Linked DNA regions of Schizosaccharomyces pombe. The gene in region 4 interacts genetically with the main gene of each other region. Each region holds a gene or a part of one and is shown on either strand. Other genes may lie near its edges.

Region 1 (7,801 bases), 3.7 Mb from region 4:
ACATATCTAATTTATACAACCGAAAACATGGTTTTGACTGTGAAGCCGGCAAAACTAACAAATGCATTTTACTGACTAAAATATCTTTCATATCTTTTGTTTTTAAAAACCGCATATTGGCAAAAAATTTCTAAATCGATAGGTAGATCCTTCGAAAATCCCAATTGATCGACTAGTAAGCGAGGCCGAATAATATGGCGATGAATGCACAATTCATTCAATGTTTATGAATGAGCACTTTGAAAATGGATATTCCATGAAAGATAGATAATAGAAAATCGGTATTAAATGTATTTGATTTTGTAGTCTTTCATCTATCTGTCTAATAATGGTTTGCAACATCGATGTTTATGATATTACAAATTGTTTTTAGGAACTTTTTTCTTATAGTTGATATAAAACTAATATAATAGGGTCGAAAGCGATTCATTTTAACTCATCGATTAATTCAAATTTTGATGTGTTAGTCTAATCCTGGATTTATTTACATGGGCAAAGATTTTTATCAAGGACAAATAGTATTTCAATGCCCAATTCATTTGGTTCCAGATTTTTTGAAAAACTTTTTTTTAAATGTTTTTATTTTCTTTCACATATACTCTGTTACCGATTCGATTTAAAATATTATTGAGCAAAAGCAGTATGCAAGGGTATTGGAATAATATTGACAAAAGCAAGGTATGAAACTTTAAAAAAAACAAATTAGATTTTATTTTATTTTTTTAAGTATAAGAGTTTACGTCTCGTTCTTTTACAGCAGCACCCCATTTTCGAATCGTATGTGTAACGAAATTTTTGAATTTAATTGTAAACATTACTTAAAATCAACACTGTTTTAAGATATTTTTTTGCTTTTTAAAAATAAGCAACAAGTTAAATAGAGACCGCTTTTATTGGAAACAGCAAGCATACACTTACCAAAACTCAACTCCTATTCTTATAACAGTTTTAGAGAGACATAATACTCGTTAGCATAATACACAGTCAAACAATAAAATAATAAATTGGTAATTGTTTAGTTACATTGTCTAGACAGAAAGAAGCAAGATGTGGGGAATTTCCGAGTTTTTACCTTGAGCTTTAACGAACAATTTTTAGCCCTTTAAAAATCGATACTTTAGTCGGTTGCATTCTCTACGTCGTTTTACTAATATAATCAACTCTCGTGCTGTGTTCGTTTTTTCAACTTTTGGTTGCTTCATAAAAACCATATTATTTATTTCAAACAAAGTAATATAACCTCGTCTGTACTAGCTGAATCCGATAAATGCCTTCAAACTTCATTCTTATATTTATTTCATACAATGATAATTTTGCTAACCCACACCCCTTCACTTACCCAGTCCCAGACACATCAAAATTTGCTCAAAATGGGTAAAGGTAAGTTCAATAAGATATTTTTAGGTTCTAATAAATCTTTAGTTTCTTTAAAAGATGAATTGGCAGGGATGCTAAACCCTCAACCGCAGGGTATGTTATTAACGAAAAATTCCGGGATTCTTACTCACATAAATAGAAAGAGACCCTGAAGCTTTAGAGGACGCATTCTCTGATAGAGAGGACTCTAGCGAAGAAGAAAACGATACCTTAGGGAGAGAACATTATGTTGATGTTAGGTATGTTCAAAATTTTTACTTTTGCGTATTTGAGCTTATACTAATGTTTCATATTTTATAGTGAAAGTAAATTACGCTCAAAACAGGCTCCTCAGTTAGACCCAAAATTTAAAGGAAGAAAAACGTCTCGCCAGGAATTACTTAATAGCGGTTCTTTAAACTCTCAATCTTCATCACCATCTGAAGAAGAAGATTCGGAGGAAGACGAAAATGATGCAGTTTCAGAAGATCACGAAAATTTTTCAAGCTCAGAAGCTTCATCAATTTCTGAGGAAAATGAAGATGACGACCAATCTTCTGCCATTCCTGAAAAAGACATGGATCGTTTAAAAAAGATTATAAATGGAGAGAAAAAGCTATCTGATCAAATTCGTACATCCGCCCTTGAAGACATGAAAAAGGGTTTAGCTTTGAAGGAGCAGATGCGTTTTTACGATAATGTTTTAGATACTAGAATCCGTCTTCAAAAAGGATGTAGTCAACTTCTTTCTTCCAGCAACCAACTTCAAGGTGATAAAGTAGAAGCCCGAGATGGTTTAGTATCTTTTATTCAACACACTTTACAGCTGAGGAAAAACTTACTTATTGACTCTGGAGTGGAAATTCTTGACAGTAGATCAAAAAGAAAAGAGAATCCTGTTAGTCTAGAAGAAATTGCTTTAGAAATGAATAACCTTGACGACTCTTTGAATGAGTGGAAAAATGATACTTTAACCAAATGGCATAATCGGGTTCAAGCAGTGCAAGGGATTTCGCAATCTAACAAATTCAAGGCTCTAAATCAAAGTATTGTTCAACAAATCGAAAATTCTATGATTAACAAGAAAGATTTGGTCGAGCGCACTAGAATTGATTACAGTGACCCTAACAACAAAACTTTCAATCCCGAAATTTACAACGACACGGATTTTTATCAATCATTATTGAAGGATTTCATTAATTCTAGAATGGCAGACTCTACTCGAGATGGCACTGTTCGTTGGATGGCTACAAAAAAGCAAAAACAGAAGAAAGAAAACGTTGATACTAAGGCATCCAAAGGTCGAAAAATAAGGTATCACGTTCATGATAAATTACAAAATTTTATGGCTCCCATTGAAGTGACTGTATGGCCGGATGAACAAACTGAAGATTTGTTTAGTAGTCTGTTGGGTCAACAATTAGATTTATCAGAGACAGCTAATGATACAAATACTTCAAACTTCGTGGAGAAGGATGATGAACTGATCTCTTCCAACGACGGATTTTCTCTCTTCGGTTGAAAATAAGCTTGTGCGTGTTGGATAAGCTTCACTATTTGTCTTTTTTTTAATATACGCAAGCTGTGCTAAACATTTAGGGTGCATGATTATTTTTACTTACAGTATATCTTTTTTCGGTTTTAAAAAGGGCATTCGCGGATTTTGGTTCTATTATAATATATTTCGTTTACAATTATTTAGGTTAATAAAAAAATTTAACATATATATGGTTACATAGATGGTCACAATGTCGGGCAATTACAAGTAATAAAGGGTTATCTTGGGCTGAAGGTTTTAGTTTTTGTGCACTTTAGTATTTTAAGCATAAAAGTATGTACGTTTATATGATGTACAGTTGAACTCTTTCTGCTGCAAATTAAAAGCAGCTATAAGTTTCTTCTTATTACAATTCATTGTGTATATACAGATTATTTTGCGATTGATGTTGGCCATTACACTTTCGTACAAATTTCGGCGCGCGTGTCTATACTAATATAAGTGCGTTAAAGCAGGTGCTAGAAAACACCACATTATAGATTTACCTCTGTATATACCAGTTTCAATTCTGTTTGTCAAAAATTGTCGAGATTTATTTACTTCTATTAGCATGAATTAAGAAATTAATCGTCATATCGACTAGAAACTATCGTTATTCGTTCAGCATTCGTCTACATCAATTCACGTACTGGTATATAAAATGGAATTCACTGTTTCAAATGTTAATCTTCGGGACCTCGCAAGGATCTTTACAAATCTTTCTAGAATCGATGATGCTGTCAACTGGGAAATTAACAAAAATCAGGTGTGTTGGAACTTTTTTCAAACCTTACTAAACATTGAAACTAATTGGTAAAGATAGAGATTACATGTTTAAATTCTTCTAGGTCAGGATTTAGCATGGTGACTTTAAAAAAGGCATTTTTTGACAAGTACATTTTTCAGCCGGATTCCGTCCTGTTGACGGGATTGATGACTCCTACAATACGTATTCGTACGCAAGTCAAGCCCATACTATCTGTGTTTAGAAACAAAATCTTTGATTTCATCCCGACTGTCGTCACTACCAATAGCAAGAACGGTTATGGCAGTGAATCTGCAAGCAGAAAAGATGTGATTGTCGAGAATGTTCAAATCTCAATCTCTACTGGTAGCGAGTGTAGGATTATATTTAAATTCTTATGCAAGCACGGTACGTAGTTTGTCCGTCTTATTATTTTATTTGCTCTACTAACGTTTATTCATCAAGGAGTGATTAAAACATATAAAATATCATATGAACAAACCCAAACTTTACACGCTGTTTTTGATAAATCTCTTAGTCACAATAATTTTCAAATAAACTCAAAAATTCTAAAAGATTTGACTGAACATTTTGGTCAGAGAACGGAAGAGCTTACAATTCAACCACTTCAAGAACGTGTTTTACTTACAAGTTTCACAGAAGAGGTCGTACATAATAGAGATATTTTGAAGCAACCTACCCAAACAACTGTTTCCATTGATGGTAAAGAATTTGAACGCGTCGCACTTAATGAGGGAGTCTCTGTTACCCTTTCTCTACGTGAATTTCGTGCTGCCGTCATTTTAGCAGAGGCATTGGGAAGCTCGATTTGTGCATATTACGGTGTCCCAGGAAAACCGATACTTTTAACTTTTGCAAAAGGGAAAAATTCCGAAATTGAAGCGCAGTTCATTCTTGCAACTGTAGTTGGATCAGATGAACAAGAGGTGTCATCTATGATGGGAAATAGATGGCAGCACAGTTCAACACCAGCTTCTCTGTTCAATTCAGTAGAGCGCAACAACTCATTGACTGCTGTAGCACATAATCCCCCTGGATCTATTGGATGGCAAACTGATGTATGTAATTCGGCTTTAGTACTAAGTACAATAATTTATTAACATTAACTTTATAGCAAAGTGACTCATCCAGAATGTTTAATTCTGCGCTTGACCGAAGCGACGAAACTAATGGCATTAAGGAGCCATCAACCACAAACGATGCTGGTCAATCATTGTTCTTAGATGGTATTCCTAATGAATCCGAGCTTGCTGCTTTTAATAATGATGTGAACGATGATGCCGAATTTGGACCAACGCAAGCTGAACAAAGTTATCATGGCATTTTCTCTCAGGAAGACTAGGAAAATCCTTCTTTGCTATGGTGTGTAAAATTATGAACATTTACAGGTGCTTGTGACAACCTCATAAAACACAGCACTCATATTATATAATGTACAATATTTATCAATAATTTAGTTTTTTTTAACTACAAAATTACCCTCATCATACGATACGTTACATAGTAGTTCTAATAAATCAATAAGATAGTGAATAATGTAACCCAATTAATTAAATTCCAATCCACGGCCTATAAAAAGTCTAATATACATTTTTGCATTTTCATCTGAATGCAAAATTTAAGTCATTACACGAACTCAAAGAAAGTTTTAAACTTGTTTCTTAATCAATTCGTTAATTTCTTCTCCACAATAGCCAGCCTTTCGACCCTCATTAAAATGTTTGACCTTTTTCTCCATCAAACTGTGTTTAACTGGAGTCAAAGTGAATGGCCATAAGAATTTAGTAACTTCCTTAAAATGAGAGCCTACATTGTAAATTTCATGAATGATATCTTCAATGGAAATAACATCATATTTGCCCAAGGCCTCCTCAATTAATGCATTATCAGAGAGAGCAATACGCTGACCATTGATCTTACCAAAGCCACGTTTATAAATGAGTTCACGAACAGAATGTAAATTGGGAATACCATACATAACATAAGGTTCGACGATTCGAAGCATTTGAGCAACGGCTTTATTATTTCGCACAAAAACGGCATTGTTAATTCGAGAAAGGCGTAATAAGCGCAGAACTTTGCGAATTTTAGGAGGCATATTCTTGACTCCGGCAATTCGAATAACGAAAAGAAGTTTTGTTTCATCAGGCACGAAAATGTCTCCTTTATTTTTCGCAGATCGATTTAACCTAATCCGTTCTCTTTCTCGTTGGCGGTAGTTATTAATAAAAGTCTCAGCCCTTTTGAAGGTTTCTTTACGATTTTTCTTCTGGGCCTGGAGTAAAATTAGTAAAATGTTTTTAACAATATATAAAAATTGATGAAGTCAAAGGTTTAAATTTAACCAATACAAAATATATGAATCAGCCGAAAGATGGTATTTTGGAGCAGCATCGTCGAAACTAGCAATCCAAGAGTGAAAGGTTCATCTTTTTCATATAAATATGTATATTATGGATATTTCAAACCTGTAGAACAAGCAATTCACATACCTCTTTTTTGGCAATAGCCTGCTCAACACGTTCTTTCCGAGTACGCTCATTGACCTTGCGCTTTTTTAAAAGCACCTCAGGTTCAAGCATAGTCTGTTGTACAACCGGTGCATCCTCCGCCATTTTATCGTCTGTTAGTAACGAGTAGAGGGCACGTTGGGACTATAGACAGACGAAAAATTATAGCTATGAAATGTGACTGCTTTAAGACACATAATGTTCTTCGTTACAATCCGCTAATAAGCGCAAAAAAATTTTGAAGCGATTTTCAAATAGGCTTTGAAATGTGTACTTAAAGGTAAAAAATGGTGTTTAAAAACTATGGCAAATTTAATTTGACAATATAACAAAAATTGCACAATAGTAGATTGCTCCTTCCATATCGAAGCATCTCTTTCTAATAACCAAGACCAAACTTTATCTAATTGACCTTGTACCATTGAAATTCATGTTTAAAAGATATACAAACGATTTTAATAGGAATATTATCAATGTTGAATGTAATCACCTGGTGCTCAAACTCCTCAGGGACGTGGGATATGGAGATGATAAATTTTGCACAACATTAATCGAAACAGTGCGAAAACACATGAGAAGTTGAATAATTGTATTATTAGCCCTTAACTTCTTAGGGTAGCCGTTTAAATGTCATTCATCCTAAACTGAAAAAAAAAATGTGACATTGATGAAATATAGTTTTCCACACGCAATTTATGTAAAATAATCATATACATTTATAAAAATCAGAAAGCAATTATTAAAAGGAAACAATTGATAAACACAAATTTACATATACTGTAAGAAAATGCATGAAAGCCCTTGCAATTCAAAATGAAATTACAAGGTTATTCTATCAATACGACTGTACGACTTACAAACTCAAGAGACTACAATATTTACCACGCTCTTAAACAGCCACCAATGTTATATGCAAATAGGAATTTTAGTGAAACTACTTAAAATTTTTTAAGTGAACTAGCTTCCACTTCTGCTACTGGATACAATACTGTTTGCGAATGTACATAAAAAGCTTAAGTTACCCAAATTCAAACAAAATATTTATACTCCAGTTCTGCCTGATCCATTAACTACAGACATTTTACTTCTTCTTAGCCTCGGCCTCTTCAGCACGCTTCTTTTGGAAAGCAGCGCGAGCACCGGCATAACGAGCATAAGCACGCTCGTTGCTAAGGGTAGAGAAAGCGTTGAAGTTCTTGGCTTCTTCAGTAATGGGCTTGGCCTCCTCAACAGCTTCTTGAGTGATGGGAAGAACAGCGGCAACATCAGTTTGCTCAGCACCAGAGACATCAGTAGCATCTCCCTTCTTGGGTTGACCAGCCTTACGGGGGAAAACAATCAAGTGAGCAAGGTAAACTTTGATGCGCTCAACGTTACGTTGTAAGGACTCCTCAGAGCGGTTGCGACGGCGGTGGTCAACGGGGATACCGATGGTAGAGGCAACACGACGAGAAACACCAGCAGCCTTGAGCTCCTCAAGAGTAAAACCACGACCAGCACGAACCTTCATGTTGTAGCGGATGGTGGGAGGCTTAACGGCGGGACGAATAGCCTCAACGGGACGAGGAGCGATCTTGGCAGCCTTGGTTTGACGAGCTTGACGACGACGCAACTTACGGCCAGGTTGGTTAA
Region 2 (7,789 bases), 3.4 Mb from region 4:
AAGTGCGTTAATATGATAAAAGTGTTATTACCTTTGTTAAAAATACGTTAATCGTGGTGTTTAAATGAACAGAGTCGAGTATATTAGTAACGTCAATGAGCATTTTTAGGAACAAGGCTCGTGGCATGTCTTAGTTTTATAAATTTAATATACCATAATCCATAAAAATTAAAATGTTCGAGGCCAATTGAAGTGCACCAAAATCATTTCGACAACTTATGATCTGTAGTTTGCGTTTATTTTAATTGTTACAACAAATTGCCAAATAAAGTGTATAAGTATAAAATGAGTAAAATAAAAGCTGAAATAGCTAGCCACATCTATTTTGTATAGAATTAGTTATTATTGTTTGCAACTTCGTAAAATATCCTTAGACCATAATTATAAAAAATGAACGTATAGGGCTAAATTGTATATTATGAGAAATAAGAAGTTCTAGTAAATAGTTGCTTGCTAGTAATAATTTAGCGCTAGCGCTGATTAAATAATGGATTTCTTTTAAGTGTTGAATAATCATTATTAGTATATAAAAAACTATTAAACTGAACGTTTGTTTAGGAATAGGAGTTCGATTAACGGTGAGGAAAAAACATCTAATTTGGATTGCATATATTGACTGGTATTTTGATTGCTTCCAAAAAAAAAAATAATTGTCAACAAAAAAAAATTGCAAACTAATTTTATGCATTAAGCTTTGGTAAACAGAAAAAGCTTATAAAGCATCCAGCGGAAGCAAAAAAATGACAAATCAAAGGATTAAATAGATATGGAAAAAGAAAGAATCCTAATAATATTCAAATGCATTAGGGAATAGTCGTTATTTTTGACAAAATATTATGAAGCCTCACTTATAGTCTTCTTTTCAAGAGAAACAAGCCGAATATTGAGACATTGCTATGCGTGATAATTTTCATTTTTCACTAAATCCCCAATAAAAAATCTCCGAAAAATTCTTTTCTCTAAGGTTAGCCGCACTTCCATGCAGAGAAGAATTCCATACGCGAACGCTCCCATCGTCTGAAATACTTGCCAATTGACCTTCACTAGACCAATCAACTGCAGTAACATCCTTAGTATGACCACCTGTGAGCATAGCAGACGATGAACAGTTTCTTGTTGTGTCAAAAACAACAACACCACTAGTCTTGTCTTGAACGCCTCCACCGCAGGCTAAAGTTGCTCCGTCAGGACTGCACGCCAACTTTACGTAGAATGAAGAAATTCTGAGTCTAGGGTCTTTGTAAGTCTTGCAAAATCCGGAGTTTAAGTGACGAGATGAATATTCATAAATGATACTATCTCTGGAAGCAGCATAAATACGCTCACCGTCAGGAGAAGTACAAACATTAGTAACACCAAAATCGCGTTTTGAAGTAGTTAATTCGGGAGTAGTAGCAGCAGGTAAAGGTCGGACGGTATGTACAGTTCGTAAATCCCATAACTTTAAGGCCGAGTTTGCAGAGCAGGACGATATAACTTGCGAAGTAGATTGAGGGAGCCACGTAGCTGAGGTAATTGAGCAATCCCTTCCCGAATTTTCATGTGCTTTTCTTATCCTTAACACTGGTTTCTGAAAATGCTCACCGTCAATTGTTATCCCGTGTGTTCGCATATCCCAAAAGATAATGGAACCATCCCGAGAACAACTTACCAAATTATAAGGAGAATCATTGCAAAAATTAACCTGCTTTACTGAATGAGAGTGGTATCCATCGACACCTCGTCGTCCCAATCGAGTGATGCATTGTTGCGTTGACAAATCAAATACCTTTGATGTTTGATCGCCAGATGAAGTAGCTAATAATGAATCATCTTTAGAGAAATTAACACTAAATATAGCATTGTTGTGAGCAAGCCAGCCATGGATTCTTCGAGCAGACGGCTGATTTTCCTCATTCTGTCTATCGTAAAATCGAGAATCAAACAGCTCAAGAGCTCCAGTCTCAGTACATACGGCCAATAAAGACTCGTTATTAGCAAATCCAAGACAGAACGGGAGTTGGTTCAGCATCATTAAGCATTCCGAAGGTCGTGAGTAATATGTTTCGAGATTGAGTCTACCTCCCACATGACGAGAAGTTTTTGTGCTAAAAGGGTGCGACCGGGAACCTCCCAGTTGTCTGATTAAAAGTTCTTTACAAAGTTGAGCAGGTTTTTTTTGAATATGAACTGGCTTGTGTAACAGGGGTTTCTTTTCAAACACAATGCGTTTTCGAGGTGTTTCAATTTTTCCTCGGCTTTCTAGGAAGTCGTAAAGCTTATGTTTTTTGGAAGGTGCTGCGGGAGAAGAATCAGGAGTCGGAGGTAATGAGTTATTTGCACGTGAGGTAATATCTCGAAGCCCACCAACATCACTCAAAGCTTTTCCAATGTCCATATTCATGGTATAATCATGAATCTTAATTTAATCCGCTTTTGAGGTCGTGTGTTCCAGTTTAATTTAAGTAGTGGATGGTAGCGTGAGTATATTAGATTTTCGTGACGCGTGAACGCGACGCGTCCGTGATCCATCACATGCACCAAACGTTACCCAGAATATGTTAAAGTAACAAAACGCGTATTTCAAAGTCATGTTTAAGCATATTTGCAATTACAGATGGGTACAGCCTAAAATTCTTGAGGAATAAATAAAAAGGATAAAAGTTTTCTAATTACTTGTTAATTTTTCATAAAGGATGACTTTCGTATTTCTGCCTATGATATAATGAGCGCTCGAAAAGTTGTCAAATATCTCATTTATTAATAATAATCGAAAATATTACGCGTCAAAAGAATCTTTCACTCACAATTCTATACTTGTATAGTCAAATTACAATCTCAACTCGCGGAGTGAATATAAGTTAGCTGTTCACCTTGCAGGACCCAAAAGAAAATAGTATATATTTGTTTCAATCAAGGTAAAGAAAATTTTAATGTAATAACTTCGTTAAGTATAAATTTCCTTTCGTATCCTTGGATTTTCAAACACATTTATCCTGTCTAACACTATTGAACAAGACAAGTTCGTGCTTTTATCAACTACAGGTTGTGAACAACCTCCATTGTACAACACCAATAGTGCATTCATTACACTCTTTCCAATATTTCTAATTACACCTCTTAATTTATTTATAAATTATTTCTTTTTTTCTTCAAATGAGTGAGTCTGTTACTACTGGATCTGATGATGATGGAGGAGACAGAGAATCTTCCCCTGTAATGCTTTCTCAAAGTTTTGATCCCATGAGCAGTAGTTCAAATTCATCTTCTGAAGAAAATAGCGATGATGATTACGAGAAAACGATAAGCTCAAAAAAACGGCATCCACGGCCAAATTCTAAAGGAGTAAATGTAAAACGCTCTAGGAGGAACGCTATAGTTGAAGAGGATCCTCAAGAAGAAATTTTTAACAACTTATTTGGTAATGATAAAGTCCTTCTTTTTTTCAGCTACTAACACTGAAAAGCTTTTCTGCTTGACCAAAAAGTTGATACCATGGACATCGCGGTTTCGTGGTTTGCTGACTATGCAAAAGATAATCAATCTGCCCTTGCAAATCTTATTAACTTTATTTTAAAGGTAGAGTCATTCTTTTCTTTCTTTACTAAATATTTTAGTGCTGTGGTTGCAATCGTGCCATTAATGTGTTTGATGTTCAGGATCAAGATTCTGCTTCAGCTACTCTATCTCAAATTCAACTTTCTGTAGAGCGTGTAAGTGCTTTTGCGAAAATACTTTATTTGTATATTAACAACTTTAAGACTTCTACTCGTGATTATCCTTTAAATTCAAAAAATCTTAAGTTTAGGAATTTCAGAAAGAGATTGACCGGTCTTTTAAGCAACTTTGTGTCACAGTTGTCAATAAGAAATTACTTGTACAATAGCACTGTTTTTGAAGATATTATGTCTTGGGTCGTTGCCATGTCTTCTTCTACGATGAGACCTATTCGGCACACCGCCACTGTTTTCTGTTTGAATATTATGACTTTTTTATGTGAAAAATCTAAAGAACTATTGAACGAGCATGCAATTGCTACCAAACAGCTCGAGAAAGAAGAAAAGCGCTCTCGTGTAAATAGAAATCGCATCAACGAACTTAATAACAGTCTTGGTGAAATAGTCAAGCAACAAGATACATTGACTACATACTTAAATGACTACTTTGATAGGTAAAGATCCCTCAAACGCTTTAATTTATTTATACTAACCTTTATATTAGTGTCTTCGTCCATCGATATCGAGACGTGGAGCCTAAAATAAGGGTAGATTGCTTACAAGAGCTTGGGGTCTGGATTAATACTGTTCCAAGCATATTTTTTTCAGGAAGTTATTTAAGATACCTAGGATGGATGCTTTCAGACATAAACACTACCGTCAGATTAACTGTAGTTAAAGTTTTGCGCAAATTTTTTGAGACAGATTCATTTATTGGTGGATTAAGACATTTTTCTTCTAGATTTAAAGAAAGAATACTCGAGATGAGTTGTGTGGACGCCGATATTGGAGTTCGTGTAGCCAGCATTCGTTTGTGTAACGCTATGAGGACTTGCGGATTTTTAGAAAATTCTGAAATTTTAAAAGTGCTGAAGCTAATTTTAGATATCAATCCAAGGGTGCAACGTGAAGCCGTACTGTTTTTATGCAAAGTGGTTGACGAAAGTGTGAATGAAAAAATTGATTTATGGGGTGAAGAAGACTATATTCTAAAGGCCTTTTCTCAGACTTCACTTACTACATTTTCAGTTCATTGGATAAAATTTTCCCAAATGTGTAAACTTTTGGAGGAGGTTAGATTGTCTTACCAATCGAGCTTTGATTATGATACATTATTACGAATCTTCCAAAAAAATGGTAATTTCATTACTCCTATAACACAAGCTTTACTTAATGCATGTGAAATTGATTCAATCTATCAGTCATGGGAGGATATTAGCAACTTCGTACTTTTTGATAATTATACCTCGACTCTAAAAGATCCGATAGACAGTATACTTTCTTTCTGCAAGCTAAATGATTTTCAGGAATCTATTCTTTTACAGCTTCTCTCTGCTTCAATCCAAACTGTCTGTAATAACAATTTTATCACACCTAAAACGGTGCATAATAAGCAAGCGGCGGAAACGACCAACGATCAAAATAAAGATAAGGACTTACTTTATTTGAATCTTCTTCCTTACATTAATTCAATAACTGAGAGAAATTCTGCTTCACCAACACTTCTTCATGATTCTCTTCGTTTGTTATTCTCAATGGATTTGACAGAAATGACAGACCCTCAACTTTCCAGACATTTTGAACTTCTAATTAATAATTTAAAAAAATTTTTCCTAACCAATAATGATCTTCAAATTATTCAAGGTTGCACGATATTATTTTTACGGTTGGACTCTATTCCTGCTTTGAAAGAAGATTTGAAGCTTCTGGTTACTGACATTTGCGACCAGACGGTAACCGAATTTTTAAAGAATTTTGGATCTTTTAATATTCAAGATGCTGTAATAACAAAAGATGAATTTGTTATTTTTGAAGCTTGTTTAACAAGAATCGAGGGATGTACCTCTCTCAAAGATTTTTCTGACTATCCTGAGTTTGACATAATATATGAAAGGCTTGTTTCGCTTCTTTCGCGGGTTCCTAATAGCTATGAAGATACATTGAAGTTTTCTGCAATTAATACTTTACAGAGTCTATTGTTTTGGTTCTTTCTAAGGAAGGATAACCCTGCTGATGAGGAAAAAAAGAAGGATGATGAGACTAAAGTTTTTAATTGTTTGATTAATATTATGAATAATGACAGCTCTAAAATTTTGCAACTTCAGGTATACAAAATCAACTTATTATTTGATTTAAGAAACTAACTTGACCAGGCAGCCCGAACTTTTCTGGAAACAGTGATAATGAAAGAAGGTGTTAAAGCATCACATTACAACGATGACAATCGTGTATCTGAGGAGCATAACTTTTTAAAACCTCAATTTTTAGATGCTCTTTTAAAAATACTTGAGGGATGGTTATACACATATGCCAAAGTTGGTCAATTCCCCTTCAAGCGTTTGACTCAAGCAAGTTCTCCACATACACAAATTTCTTTGGACAAAAATCCACTTAATAGAAGGCTATTGGAACATGTATGTTGCGATTTGACTAGTAAATTATTAATAGTTGTTTCATTGTCAAATACGATAACACCAGAATTTTCACAACAGTTTTGTGAACTAAGAGGGCACTATGGACCGAAATTATCTGCTATTGTGGATGAGTTTTTGAATTAATTAAATTTAGATTTAATGCCTGCTGTATATTTAAAGTAATTAATTATTTTTAAGTCAGCATTAGAAATAAATTCTTTTTTCATTATTAAAAAGATTATTTCCGCTTGGTTTTCATTAATTCTCTATATTTCTCTATAAGTTCCAAACGCTGCTTTCCTAGAGCTTGGCGTCGTGCCATAGATTCTGTTTGACCCATATTATTAACTTTGGGAACATTTTCCAAGTACTTTGTCTCTTTAATTTTTAATTCCGGAAGTTCAGGAGGAGCTTGCACAGTTTCTCCAAAGGAAGGTTTTGTTTGTAAATTAGCCCACGGATCAGGCGAATTTTTTCGTTTTTTTCTAGACTCAATTTGGATAAATTGTCTAATATGTTAGTTTATACGAAATGAAATTGGTGATATACACATACCCAGTAGTATCCGCCTCCCATGTTTTATCTTCAAAATTTTCCTCAATTTCATTCCAGTCTCTTTCACGCTTCTCTTTTCTTTTCGCTATTTTTTTCTTTTCTTTTTTATCAGTAAATTCGTCTATTTTGCTCGGCCCAGACTTAAAAGATACTGGAATAGCCTTATTTACGCGCTGACTAAATTCACTAAGGCGTTCACCGGGTAATCTTTGAATTTTCCCATAATCTTTTTTTTTCTTATTTTTAAGGTTGCCTTTCTTTATTTCCTTCTTTTTAGATTCATGGTACTCTTTTTGCTGTAGCAATCGCTTGAATTGCTTTGGGAAGTTGTCATCTACACTTTCATCCTCCTTGGGAGCATGATCGAGTCTATTAACCAAATGTTAGTAAAAACATCTTGCTATAGAAATTTTTTACCCAATCTTTTTCCGTTCAGCCTCAAGAACGGACCTTTTCTTAGTCTTAGTAGGCATATTGCGCTTGGATAGTAAACACAAACGAGAAGCAAGTAATAAAGGAAAATAGCGAGCCTAGCTCGTATCGCAATTTAGATAAATTTGGATTTGTTTTAATAGATACTCATGGGATAACAGTAAAGTTTATTAATGAATACAAATATCTTTTTTTATTTTAGTGGACAAGCTGTAACGCTTTAGAGAGAAAAAATTTCAGAATCAAGTTGGAAGCAAGCTTAGTGAAGATACTTTTCGAATCATACACGAAAAATATATTAAAAAATATATATATCAAACACCAAATATACACTATCTTTATTAAAATCGTAATGCTCTTATATGTAAACACTCAACTATCTTTCTTGTTGAGTATTTTGCGAGCTAATTAATAAAAATTAAAATGACTACAAACAGAGTACTTGAAATTATATAGAAAGCGAAACAGTACAAAATTACAATAACAAAATAAAAAATTCGATAACAATCTGCTTCCATAAGAATCAAATTTTATTCTCGATTAAAAGAAAACTGTTCCCAAAATCCAAAAGTTTAGATGAGCAATTTCTCTATTGCCAATTTAATAGCTTGAATTTGAGGAAGTAAATCACTAGCCTCATTGGTAGTAATGCTGGCTGAAATCACCGGTCTACTTACACCACAAGCACGTCCC
Region 3 (9,009 bases), 960 kb from region 4:
CACTAGTGGCACCAACCACGGTCAGATGATCACGTTCGTCTTCAGGTTTGTTTCCGTTCTTACGAGTAAGGAAAAATTCAAAGAGGTTACCAAGAAATTGCAAAGCAACATCTTTGAACGCAAAAGTAGGACCATGGAAGAGCTCAAGTACATTGAGACCGTTCTTTAATGATTTTAGAGGAGTAGTCTCTGGGTGGCGGAAGGTAGAGTAAGAGCGATCAACCAATTTTTTCAATTCATCAGCTGAAATTTCAGAGCGAGGAATGTACAAAGACATTACCTCAAAGGCAATTTCAGGGAAGGATTTGTCCTTCCAAGCCTCAATCCATCCGCTAGGTAGCTGAGGGATTTCTGATGGAATAAACAATCCTCCATCATTAGCCAAACCCTTAAGCTATACAGTAATGGCAATTAGTAAACCGAGTTATAAGTAAGACGCATTTGTGACATACCACAGCCTCTTCAAAAGAAAAATTTGAAGATCCACCACGAGTCGATAAATAACTAACTTGGCTAGACATTTCGCTATTTCCCAAAACAGAACGTTGCTTGTTCTTGGTAAATAAAATCCGCCATTTTTCAGAGAACCTTGCAATCTTTCGTGTTATCAACAGTTTACAAAATTGAGTGTACCAACGTAAATATTTTAAAGATAGTATCGTTAATTTTCACTATAGTAGCTCTTTGAGTTGGTTTTTTTCGAATTTATTATTTTCTGAACCCGTGGCTATTGCTCACTACACTACTCCATTTTACGGTATGCTTCGCTACATTTTTTGTTCTTAAGTTTTATATTTGTCACCCAAAACGGAAATGTATTCGTAATTTTTAATATATCCTAAAATGAAAATATTATAAATTGAATCAAATTTCCTGCGTTTCATATTTCAATTATCAGCTATCAGCTGGTAATTGTACATTAAGTCCAACCTGACTATCGATATATATATAATTGCATATCGTTAAATTGTCATGAAAAGAAAATAGTAAAATCCCAAGTTGAGACTTACCGCAAAGTAACACATCGTTATCTTGGTTAGCAATTGCGTAGTTAACAAAAACGTAAACAAACAAGAGTATGAGTATGCCAAATTACTCTACATTGCTGAAATCGTTTTAATCTTGGCAATAATCTGGTACATCGACTTTCATATAGTAATACGTTGTTTAAAAAGATTAAGATGCTGAAGTGGTAATCTTGGAAAGGCTTCTGTTGTGGTCTCGTTGCAAGATAAAAATAAAATAAAATCTACAATGTAACAAGGTAAGTAGTCATCTTACGTTTAAATGAAGATGAAGATAAGGCAATTAAAATATGTAAAAGATAGGCGTTAAAAGACGTTTCGATTGATGACAACCTAATCAAATCGGTATAACATGATGAAAAATGTAAACTTGGTTCAGTGGCCCAAACATTTAAAACAATAGGCAGCAGCCGTAAAAAATAAATGAGGTAGATCAACAGGACGAATTAGATGGTGCTTGATTGCTCGTTGCAAATTGATAAAAGGATTCGCGAGAAACATTGGAAAATGGCCCCAAGAAAAAGCAAAGGCATTACTTTTTGAAATGTTAAGGAAATTGCAATGAAAAAAGAGACGTTGAAAAAAAAAACATGGGAATTGATTATATTCCAAAATGTAAACTCGATCTAATCACAACAACTCGAAAGCATATCAAAAGTTGATTGAAGCTATTAGGCATAAATTTTACGTTATGAAAGCATTAAAAAGTAAGAGAAAGTGTACAATATAGAGAAATATTATAAACTTCCCAACCGGGTAGAGTTGAAAAGAGTAAGGAAACAAAGTAGCAATCCGGAAACGATAACCAACACAAGATATAAAAAGCAATGCCAATCTCCACTCCTTCAAGCTCTCCACACACTTCACGACTATATACGTATCGGCGGTGCTAATATCAAAAACTAGCGAAAAAGAAAATGTGACAAGATAATAATAAGGAGCCTAACAACACCTCTTCACCGTACGATCGTTTCCGAGGTCAACGTTATTTGCCTGGTTGGAAAATTCGTTTTCTGCATCAATCTTTTGTTTTTTTATTTCCCGGGCAAGGGTAAAAAATGCCTCATCTACATTGACGTTCGTCTTCGCACTAGCTTCTAAAAATTTAACGCCCAGCTCATCGGCTAACGCTTGTCCCTGTTCAAAGGAGACCTGACGCTGATCCTCACAATCACATTTATTTCCAATAAGGATTTTATAAACATTTTCACTAGCATGTTGTTCAACGTTACTAAACCAAGTTCGGACGTTATCAAATGATTTTTTATCAGTTACATCGTATAACAATAAAATACCCATTGCACCACGATAATAAGCAGTGGTAATGGTACGGAAACGTTCCTGGCCAGCAGTGTCCCAAATTTGGAGTTTGATACGTTTTCCATCTAGTTCAATCGTGCGAATCTTGAAATCAATTCCAATCGTTGTGATAAAAGAAGGGGTAAACGAGTCTTCCGAAAATCTCAGAAGAAGACATGATTTTCCCACACCTGAATCTCCTATGAGAAGTAATTTGATTAAATAATCGTAGGATTTTGTAGACATGGAGGAGTGTTGCTTTTGCCAGGTGGTAAGTGGTAGAATCTACTGGAGTCCCTTGAGATAATGCCGCAAAAATACACTTAAATTTATTAATTCAAGTAATGTTATTGTATAAATGGTACTAGTTTTATTTAAGTCTTTGTTTGTGTTTTTTTATGTTGAAAAAACATGACTTTCAACTTTTTTATGTACGTTTCCTAAGGGCAATAAACTCGAAGTTTTGATAAAGGAAGTCACTATTCTAGGGCACATACATACACTCTTGAGAAAGTAACAAAGATATTCACAAGAGAAATAATTCAGATTTCATGTCAGAGAAAAATCTCTGTCACTAAACAATTTACTAGCCATGGATTAATTTATACGATTTGAATGACTGGTAATATGACTAATATAGTACTGCATTGATCAATTTAATCAATGTTTATATGACTGTCATTGACCTAAACATACTTATAATTAACGCTTTAAGTGTTTTGGTTTAGATTTTTCCTTTTTATTTTTGATAATATAGTAAATGGATGGGGGAGAAACAATGAACTTAACGTTAATTCATATGATCATCATTTTAGGCTTTGTCATTGTTGTTCGAGTTGAAACAATAAACCGTTTAAACCAGCATAAACTATAAAATGTTCTACGATTAGGAGTTGGACTGTCTGAAAATAAATAACTTTTAAATTTTTCGAGGTTATGAGTATTCAATAGAGATTGAAATTAATAATTTCTACAATAAAACAAAATAACAAATTATTTCATTTTATCCATTGATATATTTGGTTAGACTACAATTCGATCTTACTTTTTTAATAATATTTTCATTTTTTTAATTCTTTTATGTTTATTAATTCGAATAAATGATGGAAGCCATTTGTCATAACACCTTAATTTAAGTATAAAAAATATTTTTCTCATGTTTTATTTTTAAAAGCATTCAAACATCATACACTTATTTTATTTATTTTTTATTATTGACAATTCAAATACTTGATTTTTGGCTAATAGTGATTTACAGTACTTGAGGTCTTATTGTCGATTACGTAACTCGTAAAACTTCAAGTTGGCTATTCGATTGCTAACCAAAATGCACTAATACGCCAAGTTCAACAAGTAAATTAAAGATCACAAGAAATACTCATAGCAGTTAAACGTATCGTTAAAGCATCTTATATAGCTGCGCATTTTGGAAAAGACTATCTTATTTATCATATCTGTTGGTGCTCTGCAAAATCAATTCATATTGCTACAAGGGTTCAATTATTCATACAGGAAGTTACGCGATTAAGCAGCCTTAGTGACTGCAGTCATATTCTGCTATTAGTGTTTCGTTTGTATGTGGTATTCATACTAGAAAGAGATATGGTTTTTCGGCCTTATCTTCTCTGCATAATATTGCTTACTAACTGTTAAGGTTTTCCAATTGCTGAATTACGATAATTACAGTTACCAAGGTTGCTGAAAGTATTTGAAACAATTTACGATTTATTATGAATTCAATTCTTTTTTACAGAATAAGAAAAACATTGGGCCCATATTACAATTTGGAATCACTTCAAACAACTATTGTTACGCATAAACGAGAGTGAAAGCTACAAACAAAATGATGGCTGATGAAAGTTTTGACTTGGAGAGTTTGGGTTCGGATGAAATATTTGAAGGCGTGAATTTAGATGAATTAGAGCAACAAGCTCAAACCCAGGTTCAAGCTCAAAGTTCTCAAGTAGTTGTACCGAGTGAAAAGCAAAAGCAAAATTTAAATCTTCCAAATTCATACACCAATTCTTCTCAAAAAGTCCGGGAATCTACCGTAAACTCACAAGCCTCATTATCCTCTAATGACCTTCGAACAGAACTTTTAATTAAGTCGGGAGAAAATGCAATTCTTCGTGCTAACCTTCTAAAACAATCCGAAGCTAATAATGCCGCCCTAGAATCGTTAAATAATTCTATAAAGCAAAAGCAAGATGAATACCAACGGAAATTAGAGGAGCTTAAAAAAGAAATTGAATACGCAAAAACGAAATCCCTATTTCATGAGCGTGAAGCACAGGATGCTATCGAAACTATGAAAAAAATGAAAAGAGATGTAAAGAATTCTCCGATTATGAAAAAATCCCATGAAGAAGATGGTGACAATAAATTGTTATCTTCTTCTGATCAGCTTGCTAAGAGCACAAAGCATGCTGCAAAAAACAGCCCTTCTAAAAAGAAGCGCAAAACAAGTGTTGCTACTGCTGAAGATGCTTCAACGGATAGTGTGAGTTCTAGTATTGCTATATCAGATGCAAGTTTGTCTTTGAGCCTGATGAAAGATTTACTTTCTCTACAAAAAAGAGAAGATTTGTATTTTGTAAGTATTTTTAAACTGTCGTGTTAAATTTTATTCCCTTTTCTTACTTTTCTAGTCTTCTAGAACTTTAGCATACGTATTTGGTGGTTGTATGCATTCATTAGAAACAATTGAAGGAGAGGAGGAAGGTGAATGTTTGTTTAATAACTTGAAAGCTCTAATATACAGTCCCGATCTATCTATGGATTCCTCCAATTATGTACAATCTGTCGTTCAAACATCATCGTCGATTTTAAATTATTCAATGAAAAAATTATTATATAATGCCTCCTTTGCTATAACATCTTTGTTTAATGCATTATTAATTTTGGACCCTAAATCATCCACCTTTATCTTTCAGGAAAATGTCGTTTCTTTAATAAGTGGTTTTCTTCTTAAGGAATACGAAAAAAGCAATTTTTTGGACTCAAAGTTTTACGTTTTAATAGATTTTCTTTATTTATACTTATCTATAGCACGTGAAAGTGCTGATGACTTTGCAAACATTACTAAAGCGGTTGATCCGTCGTTATTCGAATCCTGCATTCGAGTGCAAAATGCTCCTTCTTTGATTAAATGTGGTGTTTGTTTAATTATTAGTTCCACCACTCCTTCGTTTTGCGCTTCAGTTAACTTGTTAAATGCCGATGATAAATCCCAAGAATCACTCATGCAACTTTTCACAACTATGGCCCATATTTTAGTTGTTACTACTAGGGAAAGGATTAATTTTCCTGAATTGGTACGTTTACGAATTGTGCTTATAATCTTTGCATTGCTTATTTCTAACAAATTAGAATGAATGGATAACGCTTCATCGCTTTGTCATATCCTTTTTTACCGTGTTTATACAAATGTCTGGAAACATTGGTAAAGAGATTTTAAAAGTATGCAATCCCTTAATAGTATGCATCGGACTAGCCATCACTTGGTATCATCAGCAACTCCTTTCGTCAATGTACCCTCAAAATGAATGCGTAGAGATTTTAGTATCTCTTGTTCGGCTTCTGTACATTTTATCTTCCGAAGATTTATCATCAAAATTTATGTTAGCTGAAAATGCGTTACAACCTCGTTTCGTTTATGCAATAGCATGCTGCGCATTCGGCGATACTGAACAAAAAGCGTTTGGCAATTTGGGTGAGGAAATGTATTTTCTCACTACAGAATTGTTGGAAGTTTGCGTCTCTCCCGAAGAGCTGGAGCAGTTGTACACTAATTTTTAGATAATGAAACAGATGAATCTATTTCCCTAATTTTTCAAATGAAATAATGATACTTGTTTCTTCAGTGTTGTTCTTTCCCGTCCCGCACCCACATCCTCGCAAATTAAATACAAATCAATCTGTTTCCCCAAAGGAATGCGTACCACAAAAACATCCCCATTCCGTTCTTTTAGTAAAACTTACGGCTATATTTACCTGCAAATAAAATCATCTAGCAATTAACGAAAATGAATATATTAAAGTACCACTAACATAAAGAATCATCACTATGTAAATTCAATAAAATGCATTTGAAAGTTCAAATATCAAAACCGTTTTGATTCATAATAAAGAAAATCCGTCATAGAAGAGTTTCAAGAAAAACTGTAAACATTCATAACATAAAGAGAAAAATCCAATAATTCTCTTCACTAGAGTTTTTCTTCATTCTTTATCCATTGAATGCATATTTTTTTATTTTTTTTACAAAAAATATTTGCGTCTGATTTCCTTAAATGGGAGAATCCATTCCCAGGTTGATGTGAACAGCTTTTGTTTGAGTATAATTGGTAAGACCGTAAGAGCCCAATTCGCGACCGATGCCACTCTCCTTATAACCACCAAAGGGAATTTGGTGATGAAGTAAGTTATAACAATTCACCCAAACAGTACCGGCTTCAAGAGCATTGCTGACCTTGATGGCATTGGTAATATTGTTAGTGTGTACACCAGCAGCTAAACCATATGTACTGTTGTTACCGCGACGGATGGCCTCCTCGATGGTCTTGAATTTAATGACGGCAAGAACGGGTCCAAAAATTTCCTCCTTACCGACAGCCATGTCCTCGGTAACGTTGGAGAGAATAGTAGGTTCGACAAAGTAACCGAGATTACCATGACGCTTACCACCAATCTCTAATTTGGCACCATGAGCAATGCCACTCTCAATATAACTAACAATACGTTCATACTGTTGCTTACTAACTTGAGCACCTTGGAAGGTATCTTCGGCGAAAGGATCACCAACCTTCAAAGTCTTGGCCTTGGCAACCATGCGTTTAATGAACTCATCGTAAACATCCTCTTGCACGTAGACACGGCTACCTGCACAACAGACTTGACCAGAGTTGTAAAAGATACCATAGTTAGTCCAGACAGCAGCTGAGTCCAAATCGGCATCGTTGAAAACAATATTGGGAGACTTACCACCCAATTCAAGAGTGACCTTCTTCAGGTTGGAGGAGGCGGCAGCACGCATAACCATACGACCGACACCGGTAGAACCGGTAAAGGCCACCTTATCAATGTCCATGTGAGAACTAATAGCGTTACCACAACGGCGACCATCACCGCTGAGAACATTGATGACACCTGGAGGGAAGCCACATTCAGGAACAAACTTGGTAAGACACAGAGCGGAAAGAGGAGTGAGTTCGGCAGTCTTCAAAATAATAGTATTACCACAAGCGACGGCAGGAGCAATTTTCCAAGCGCACATCAAGAAAGGGAAATTCCAGGGGATGATTTGACCACATACACCAATGGGTTCGTGACGAGTATAGGCAAAACGCTTAATGTCGGTTTCAATGGTTTGACCATAATCCTTATCGGCCCAACCACCATAATAACGGAAACAATCGGCAGCAGCTTGAACGTCACCTCTAGCCAAAGTGATACTCTTACCATTGTCAAGAGTCTCAATAGAAGCGAGGTATTCCAAGTTTTGCTCGATACAGTCAGCGAGACGGGAGAGGCAACGTCCACGTTGAGCGCTGGAAAACTTGCGCCATGGAGCATCGGTCTGGAAAGCGGCACGAGCAACTTTCACGGCGATATCGACATCCTCTTCGTCGGCGTCAGCTACCTCACAAATAAGTTTCTCAGTAGAAGGAGAGTAAACCTTCACACGACCACCGTGAACGGAATCGACATGTTGGTTATTGATAAAGAGACCGACAGGTTGAATGTAAGTTTTTCCTGTAGGAACGGTAATTTCGACGTGATCAACGAGTTTTGTAGACATTTTGAAAAGTTTGTATTAAAAAATTGAGAAAAGGGGTCGTTGTCGTAAATGAGTAAGAGTAATTAAAAAATTAACTAGAAAAAAAAAAAAACCAAAGATAAAAAATGAAGTAGTGGGATAAATTTGGCAGAGCTGAATTGAAATGCAAACACAGGACAAAACCAAAAGATCAGTAATGAAATGGAAAATATGAGGTGTTAACGATTGTATAAAATAATTTTATATCAACCAAAGTAAACAACGTCGTCAAAAAGTTATGGGCGAAACCAAACTATAAGTAAAAGAGCACCTAATACGAAAAGATTAGATGGTCAGAAAAGGACCGGGGTAAATAAACAATGGCCTCTTATTATTCTTAAGAAGAGGGGGATGCAGTTTTTATAAAATGTGATAAAAACCGAAAGACGACAAAATCAATGAATTAAAACAATCAATTGTCGTTGTTAGTAATAATACCACAAAGGAAACCTATATCAATTTGGATGTAGGAAGTGAAGGAAAGACTATAGATAGAGGAATATACTAATAAGAGAATAGCAAGCGTGTTGTAGAAACGAAAAGACCGTGCTGTTCTACTTATTTCAGTGAACTGCAAAGGGGGGCGAATTCAATATTTATAGTAAAAATCATATATGACTTATACGATGATTAGTAAACAAAGCTCCAACTCCTACTGATTAATGGTGACACAAAAGACCGACACCTGGACGAATGATTTCCTATACATGATCTAATTCAAACAACGACGAATGACAAAACAGGACACCTTACCCCATGATGTCAATGCTTAATTTTGGCGAATCAAAGGAAGAGACACCCTCAAAAATCACAAGATTTCATATGTGCTAGCGTACGCAAAGCTTCCCTCCCAAATCTCACTGTGCA
Region 4 (6,680 bases):
GACGTGCATTTAGACACAAATACGGCTTCTATGTCTGGAAATTAAAGATTGTATTTAAAAAAAAAAATAGTATTAAAATATTACATCAAGGAAGAAAAAAAAAACTAGACACCAGGTATTAAAGACATGCAATATTTGGAACTATAGTATGGTAGACGTTGCTACTTGTCGCAGTTAAAAATACTGGCGATTAAGCAGCTTTTTTCGGGGATTCGCCAATACTGGGTGAATCTGTAGGAGTTGTAGTCGCAGTGCCAGAACGCGATACAACTGTGTCCAAATATCGAAATGCCCAAACTCTCAGCTTTCGCTGCTGAGAGTCTGATAATTCATCTGGTAAAGCTTTTTCTTTTTTGGATAGAACTAACTGAATATGCTTTTTCAAGATAATTTCAGTCATTTTCTTTACTCTCAATTTAAATTCAGCTTTACCAAGCTTCTCTTGGTATCTAGCTGTTTTGTTAGCAAAAAATTTTGCCAAAACTGCCTTAAAAGCAATGCTTTCAGGACTATGCGAAGTTAAATGATGATCAATTGTGGCATCCTGAGAGCTTTTCGTCTTCTTTTCATGCAACTTTTTGGCATGTCTTTTCAAACTTTCTTCGTAAGCAAGACGTCTCTTTTCTTCTCTTTTCTGCTGAGCTATTCTTTCTTCTTCCTCCTTCTGTGCCTTCAACACATTTTTCTGATTGACACTCTCCATTGCCGCTGAAATAATCTTGTTTAAATCTACTTTATTAGCTTGATTGCTGACTTGTTCTTGCTCATTATTTGGTGTAGTTGTTTCAGAAGGAGTGTCAGAGTTAGAAAGACGACGACGTTTAGGGAAAGAATTTTTACGAAAAAGGTTGTGTTTTGAATGGCTTTGATAGTCATTTCCAAACTTGGAACGTGAACGACTATCACTAGGCCTAGAAGAATGTAATGCTGGATGTTTCTTGCTCAAATCTTCTGTTGAATTATTGATTGCAGATTTTATATCTCCCTTATCGCCACGTTGTGGTTCCTGATCCCTTAAAGGAGGATTACTTTGATTATTGGAGGGTTCTGCGTTCGTTGACTGTGGAGCAACTTGACCAGGCTTCCTTCGGGGAATTCGATAAGCTATCTCCAAAGATTCCCATTCTTTTAAAAGAGTTTTGGCATGATCTTTGACCTCCTCGTTCTCATGGTCGCAAAACTCTTGAACAACGGGCTCAATATTTGAATCTTGGATTTTATTTCTTGTTAGGCGTGGCCAAGATAACATGGTTTTTATAGAACGTAGTATAAACTCAATATCAATGCTGAACTTCTTCAGCATCAAACCAAAAATGTTGTAACCACGTAACGCAATGATCGAACGGCATACACTAGGATCTGAAGTCAAGAAAATGCGTTCCATTAACTTTCTTGTTAATAAGTCATCCTTAGTTTGCAGGAGAACGCCAATCACTTTAGTAGCAGACTCAGATGTCAGAGGAGTAGGTTGCACCTCTTCAATAATTTTGCTAGTTTCGTCAATTCCCTTTTTACGACGTTGTCGACGTGCAGTGATGTTTTCCCAGCTATCCTCTTCATCTTCAATACCAAGAGCCTCTCGGACATTCTCAGGTAGTTTCGATTGAGCCTCAGTTTGCGTCTTTCCGCCAATATACCCTACACAGCAAGGTTCTCCGCAATAACAAGGTTGGGCTTGTGCACCATATCTATCGACATTATAGTCAAAAGTAAGCTCTTCACCGCGAATAATATCTCTTTTACAAAATATACCCATTCTTAGCTTATCTCCTACCATCCATTTATCAACATAACAATTAGGTCTACAAGAGTGATTGCAAAATCTTGCGAGCGACCCCCTTTTAGTAGCATCAATATATTCCCCCTTTTGCAGCATCATGAAGTAAAAGTGTTTAATTCCCTCACTATCGTATTGTCGCATACGTTTACGAAACTTTTGTTCAGGTATAACTTCTCCAATGTATTCGTAGACAAATGTGTCTTTGGGTAAATTGGCATCAGCGCGCAAACCAAACCCTTTCTTTTCGGTTAAGAAAACATCCACCTTTGCAAATTCATGTCTTTGAAAGCGTTGGTTTTGACAGGATGGTCCACAAACGTTATCTTCGTCCGTACACTCTATAGAAGTCATTCTATTAATACAATTGGATCCGTGCCCACAAGCAACATTAACTCCATCTACCCAATGAGGCCGACAATCGCAAATCATAGCTTCGTTTTCTGGAGGCTTACCAATATTGGCGGAAGCATACTGACATTCTTGAATCTCTTCGAACGTAGTTAGCGCCTTATCTTTCGCAGAATCCAGGTGATGAAAAAGTTGAGGAGGAAGTGCCTCTTTTCTAACATATTTGCTTTGAGACCGAGAGGATGCAGACGATGGCGAGGACGTAGAAGGGGAAGGAGCACTTTCGTCTTTATTCATCCCTTCGGCATCCTCTTTACTTTCGAAATCATGAGATGACGAAGAAGATGGTGATGAACCGACTGCCTGGACAGCGATTGTGTCTTTTGACCAAGAAGACTTCCTATCAACGTTTTCCTCATTCAAAGGAGTTAAAACAGAAAGAGATGATGCCGTCTGCATTGTATGATAATGGACAAAAAGAAAGAGAAAGTTAAAAAATCTACAGTTTTATTGAACAAAAAGTAATTGCCGAAGGAAGCCAAAACAATAGAAAGAAGACCAGCTGAAATTTCACCGAAAATCTTCTTTTTAGAAAATTTCCGAAAATATCTCGATGCGTAACATATAGATCTTCTAACGTTTCAAAGTTTCGTGTCAAAGAAACAGTGAGATCAGGAAATTGTCTCAAGGAAGAAGTTGTGGCTGTTGGCGGCGTTCCTTCTTTACTCGCGGAATCCTCGTAGGGGCTCACAGTACCGGAGTGTAAACGACAACTCTTGACTTTAGTGTTAAATATTAAAGAAACCTATTAAAAGAAAAGGCTTTAAAATCTTTACTTTCATTTCATTCAAGCATCTACAAAAAATCACCATCACGCGCAACATTTGAATGCCATTCTTTTCCAGAAATTCCATAATAGTTGTTGAAGAAATAACACTGTTAGTGTAATAAAATTCACTCTGTTTTTTACACTCGGCGCCTTATGTAGCGAATATCTTTGAATTAATAATATCAATCATACTATGTAACTGTAGTAGGTTGTTTATCCAAAAAACATATGGTACGCAAAGATAGACACTAATTATCAACAATGAATGAATAAGAAAAGCTTTTTCAACGAATATTTTGAGTGAGGCAGTCAGCGTGCTCATACTGGATAGACCCAGAACAAGTAAGTTTACAATATGTTCAATTTACAAATCCAAGCATGTGGTATTGAATTATATTTGGTATTCTTTTTGTTCCCTTGGTCTTATTAATGTAAAATCATCATCTACCTGCATCTATTGAAGCAGTAATTAAACAGAAGTTTGAGAATCGGTAAAGAAAGAAACTAGGAATGTATGTAATAAAGTCATTTTATTTTGAAAATGCTCATCCTGTTAATTCTAGGTAGATTCTTTATTTCTTCAAACCCAACCACTTTTGTTAATATTGTTTAAACACATAATATATACATTGGCGAAATTGAAATAATGCTAAAATTTTGTCAGAGCATTAGTCATTGTTAATTTTAAAAAGCTATTAAACAAAAATAAAGGCTAAGAAAAAAAGATAAACCTATTCCATATGTTTATATATGTGTATCTTATCTTAAAAGGTCTTTAACTCAAGCTATACTTACTACAATCTATATGCAGCTACTTGTCCTTCATGGCACGACGGTGCCAGTAAAGTTAATAAGAAAACCATACCGAACAGGGGCCAAGTTACGATGAGACAACATGTGAAGAACAAAGGAAGAAGCGATTTCAAGCTTTGCAAAAGGTTTGACCAAATTTAACGAACAAACGTTTCAGCTGTTACCTTGAAAGCAGTTGGCAATAAAAGAGAAAGCGAATTTAATTGCTTTAAATGTTTTACTTTAACTCTTAGATATAAAGAGTGCGGAAAAAGTGGCAGAACCACAAGAAAACAAGATCTCAATCGCAAAAGCAATAAAACTGCAATTCCAAATTTTGTAGATTTTCTACCATTTATGAATAACGTGGGTTAGTGAAATGTAAAGAGATCCGTGTTCGATAGGCATTCCCCAGACAAATTTGACTGCTTTAAACGTCACAAAGCCGAGTAGCAAACGCTCCCACAACCAAACACTACACAAAGGTTCGTCGACAATTTATTTTGGAAAAAATGCACAGCAGCAAGCGAGTTATGACCACAAAGACTCATGTTGAGCAGCCTGAGTCTTCAATGCGTCCTCAGCTTCCCGAAAGCATTCAAGGCTCCTTAATGGACGTGGGAATGCGGGTTCGTAAATCAATTTCCACCGGATACAAGTCGAAACAAACCACGTTTCCTGCCTATAACCCACCGCTTTACAACACTGTTTCTGAAAACATTGCTTTAAAAAATACCGCATTTTCTTATGAGCCTAACGGTACTAAGCGTCCATTCGAGCAAGCAATTCCTAATTATAACTGGGCCAATCCTCCTCAAGACTTTGAAGAACCGGAATGGTTGAAGCCGTTTGACGTTGTCATGGAGGGTACCAATGAGAGATTATAAGCTAAATGTGAATCTCGTATATCTCTTCTTTAAGGATAATTTGACACCAATCCTCATAGTTCCAATTATTCCTTCGTTCATTAGTCTTTGACTTTGTTGATTCCCTATACCATTAATACATTTTATTATTGGTTTTGTGAGTGACGGCTAAGTGATTTTCTACTAATTAAACCCCCTCTTCTTTTGGGCATTTGTCTCTCCTTGTTAATTAAACTCTTTACATCTATGAATGATCTAGTCATATCTTTTTTTATTTTATCTTATTTGCTTATCGTTTTCTGCTTGACCAACTTATAATGGATTACTTTGTTGTCGTTGAATATCTGAATAGTAATTTTTTTCTAATACGTACATAATTTTTTGAAAGACTCATTCCTCGTATTTCCTCAGTAAATGTCACTTTTTTGGTGTACATGTAGATCGACCAAAGTAACCTGTTGCGGGCGACTTTTGTAACTTGTTATTTCTACTTTAAATCTTTTTCTTTTATGATGTTAGGGCGTTGGTAGGGGTTGTAACGTAAAAGGAAACAATTTTTGATATTTTCTCTACGGCATGTGAAAAGTATTACCCAACATGCCACGGAATTCTACGCTGTTTCAGTAATAAAATTTTATTATTATTATTATTATTATTTTTTTTTTGAAAAGATGTAATAAAATGCTTATATTTATAGATTACAAAGAGACAGTAATAACGTTACTCAGCTAACTAAAAAAGTGCAAACTAAACAGCGAATATGGCAAAAAACAGTCATATTTAAAAAAAAAATAATAATTTGAGAGGGAAAAATGGAATAATTTATTTAAAAACAAAAGATACCATAAAATCAATTAATCTACACATAAAATTTACAACTAGGATGTTATTTTGATAAAGTTTGTTGTAAATTTTTTGGTACTTCTACTCATCCGCTATTAGCTTGAAAAACAAAAGTAATTACTACCGCTTTATGGCCAACTAGTTTCATAGGGAGGATGACTGCATACAAAAACGCTGAAACCCTTTCAAATGAGTCTATAAGACAGCAGTGGAAAACGAGTATTTCAGTTTTTAGGTACATTGCAGTGTTATAAATAATATGTGTTTCTTTTCAGATTTTTTTTACTAGTCAGTTATTGTTATACCAATCAATTCCTGGTATGTTTATATTAAACAACAAACAGGACACGAGGAGTCCTTGAAGTATTACTACATTTCCAGTTCAACGATCTTGTTTCAAGGTAAACAATGTTAAACATTACTGCATAACAAAAATCTAATGACAATTGAAGCAGCGTATATAAAGCGATGCATAAAGCCCTTGTTAGGAAAGGCTCTACTTGCGGCTTCTTAATTAGTATTGATAAAATCTATTTCCATGGACATGCAAATATCTCGCAAGATGGATACATCGATCATTCTTCGGCGACTTGGATACCTCAGTCCCCACAAAATAAGATAAAGAATATTGGGTGTCGGTAGTCAGTATCCTAATCCATCAAAAAATTACGGACATTGCAGACGCTGATCGGTAACATACCAAGAAATTATCTGGTAGAACGCTTATATCCATATTTCCGATGCAATCGGTTCACGCCTGTTACCATTGATCGCTAAAAAATGTATGCAACTTTCCATAAAGGTAGTAAAGACATGACTTATACGCCGGATATATGATGAGCAATTTCATTTAGTAATTCTTTATTGTTTTGTACGTTTTAAAAGTATGACGAAGCATCTCAAAAGTATGAATTGTCGGATAATTGCAGCATGTAAATAAATAGGAGGATTCTTTTATTAAAGTCGACTTTAGGAGAGAAACAGTTTTTGTGCTTTCCCTCCAAGCATAACAATTTGACGTTAGGTTTAGCAGGTCGTTTAGATAAAGAAAGACATCCGCCTCTTTGTAAATCGCTTCAACATCAATTGTAAGTTGCTTACATCTTCTACGCGCCTCCACTGTATACTTATCGGGATCAATCAAATGGTTTCGGACATTTACTTCCTAAAGTAGTGTATGCTACGCTTCGTTATATTACATCTTGGTAAGCATGAAAATGTA

Evidence for each region.
Region 1: of spd1 (region 4) and rad9, a mutation in one rescues a mutant of the other (synthetic rescue), as found in Schizosaccharomyces pombe (one study listed by BioGRID).
Region 2: of spd1 (region 4) and cdt2, changing one suppresses a phenotype caused by changing the other (phenotypic suppression), as found in Schizosaccharomyces pombe (3 studies listed by BioGRID, with this or other methods).
Region 3: of spd1 (region 4) and rad26, a mutation in one rescues a mutant of the other (synthetic rescue), as found in Schizosaccharomyces pombe (2 studies listed by BioGRID).

The regions. Positions count from the first base shown.
Region 1 is NC_003424.3:1,711,290-1,719,090, reverse strand, and holds rad9 (checkpoint clamp complex protein Rad9), read left to right. Parts: upstream 1-3,374; 5' UTR 3,375-3,554; coding exon 3,555-3,659; exon of another isoform or gene 3,660-3,712; coding exon 3,713-4,046; exon of another isoform or gene 4,047-4,103; coding exon 4,104-4,717; exon of another isoform or gene 4,718-4,773; coding exon 4,774-5,001; 3' UTR 5,002-5,171; downstream 5,172-7,801. Other genes in the region: bfr2 (traub family ribosome biogenesis protein), read left to right, coding at 1,371-1,380, 1,423-1,470, 1,517-1,616, 1,678-2,878; ribosome biogenesis protein rlp7, read right to left, coding at 5,308-5,934, 6,152-6,274; rpl13 (60S ribosomal protein eL13), read right to left, coding at 7,251-7,801. UniProt on the Schizosaccharomyces pombe protein: Acts in DNA repair and mutagenesis. Involved in promoting resistance to ionizing radiation and UV light, as well as regulating cell cycle progression after irradiation. Repressor of entry into mitosis that is activated by chromosome breaks.
Region 2 is NC_003424.3:2,033,268-2,041,056, forward strand, and holds cdt2 (WD repeat protein Cdt2), read right to left. Parts: upstream 2,438-7,789; 5' UTR 2,384-2,437; coding exon 911-2,383; 3' UTR 689-910; downstream 1-688. Other genes in the region: SPOM_SPAC17H9.18C (uncharacterized protein), read right to left, coding at 371-688; mitotic cohesin complex non-SMC subunit Psc3, read left to right, coding at 3,136-3,400, 3,446-3,558, 3,597-3,692, 3,741-4,150, 4,201-5,800, 5,849-6,253; SPOM_SPAC607.02C (uncharacterized protein), read right to left, coding at 6,348-6,618, 6,665-7,033, 7,082-7,137; U3 snoRNP-associated protein Snu13, read right to left, coding at 7,669-7,789. UniProt on the Schizosaccharomyces pombe protein: Substrate-specific adapter of a DCX (DDB1-CUL4-X-box) E3 ubiquitin-protein ligase complex required for DNA replication during mitosis and meiosis.
Region 3 is NC_003424.3:4,446,948-4,455,956, forward strand, and holds rad26 (ATR checkpoint kinase regulatory subunit Rad26), read left to right. Parts: upstream 1-3,657; 5' UTR 3,658-3,898; intron 3,899-3,978; 5' UTR 3,979-4,167; coding exon 4,168-4,917; exon of another isoform or gene 4,918-4,972; coding exon 4,973-5,638; intron 5,639-5,693; coding exon 5,694-6,122; 3' UTR 6,123-6,422; downstream 6,423-9,009. Other genes in the region: SPOM_SPAC9E9.06C (threonine synthase), read right to left, coding at 1-394, 453-521; GTPase Ypt2, read right to left, coding at 1,968-2,570; atd1 (aldehyde dehydrogenase), read right to left, coding at 6,613-8,124.
Region 4 is NC_003424.3:5,408,228-5,414,907, forward strand, and holds spd1 (ribonucleotide reductase (RNR) inhibitor), read left to right. Parts: upstream 1-4,215; 5' UTR 4,216-4,261; coding exon 4,262-4,636; 3' UTR 4,637-4,992; downstream 4,993-6,680. Other genes in the region: histone lysine H3-K36 methyltransferase Set2, read right to left, coding at 191-2,587. UniProt on the Schizosaccharomyces pombe protein: Regulates the ribonucleotide reductase activity through its mediation of the nuclear localization of suc22, the small subunit of the ribonucleotide reductase. Delays the progression of the G1-S phase transition, thereby ensuring the G1 phase is complete.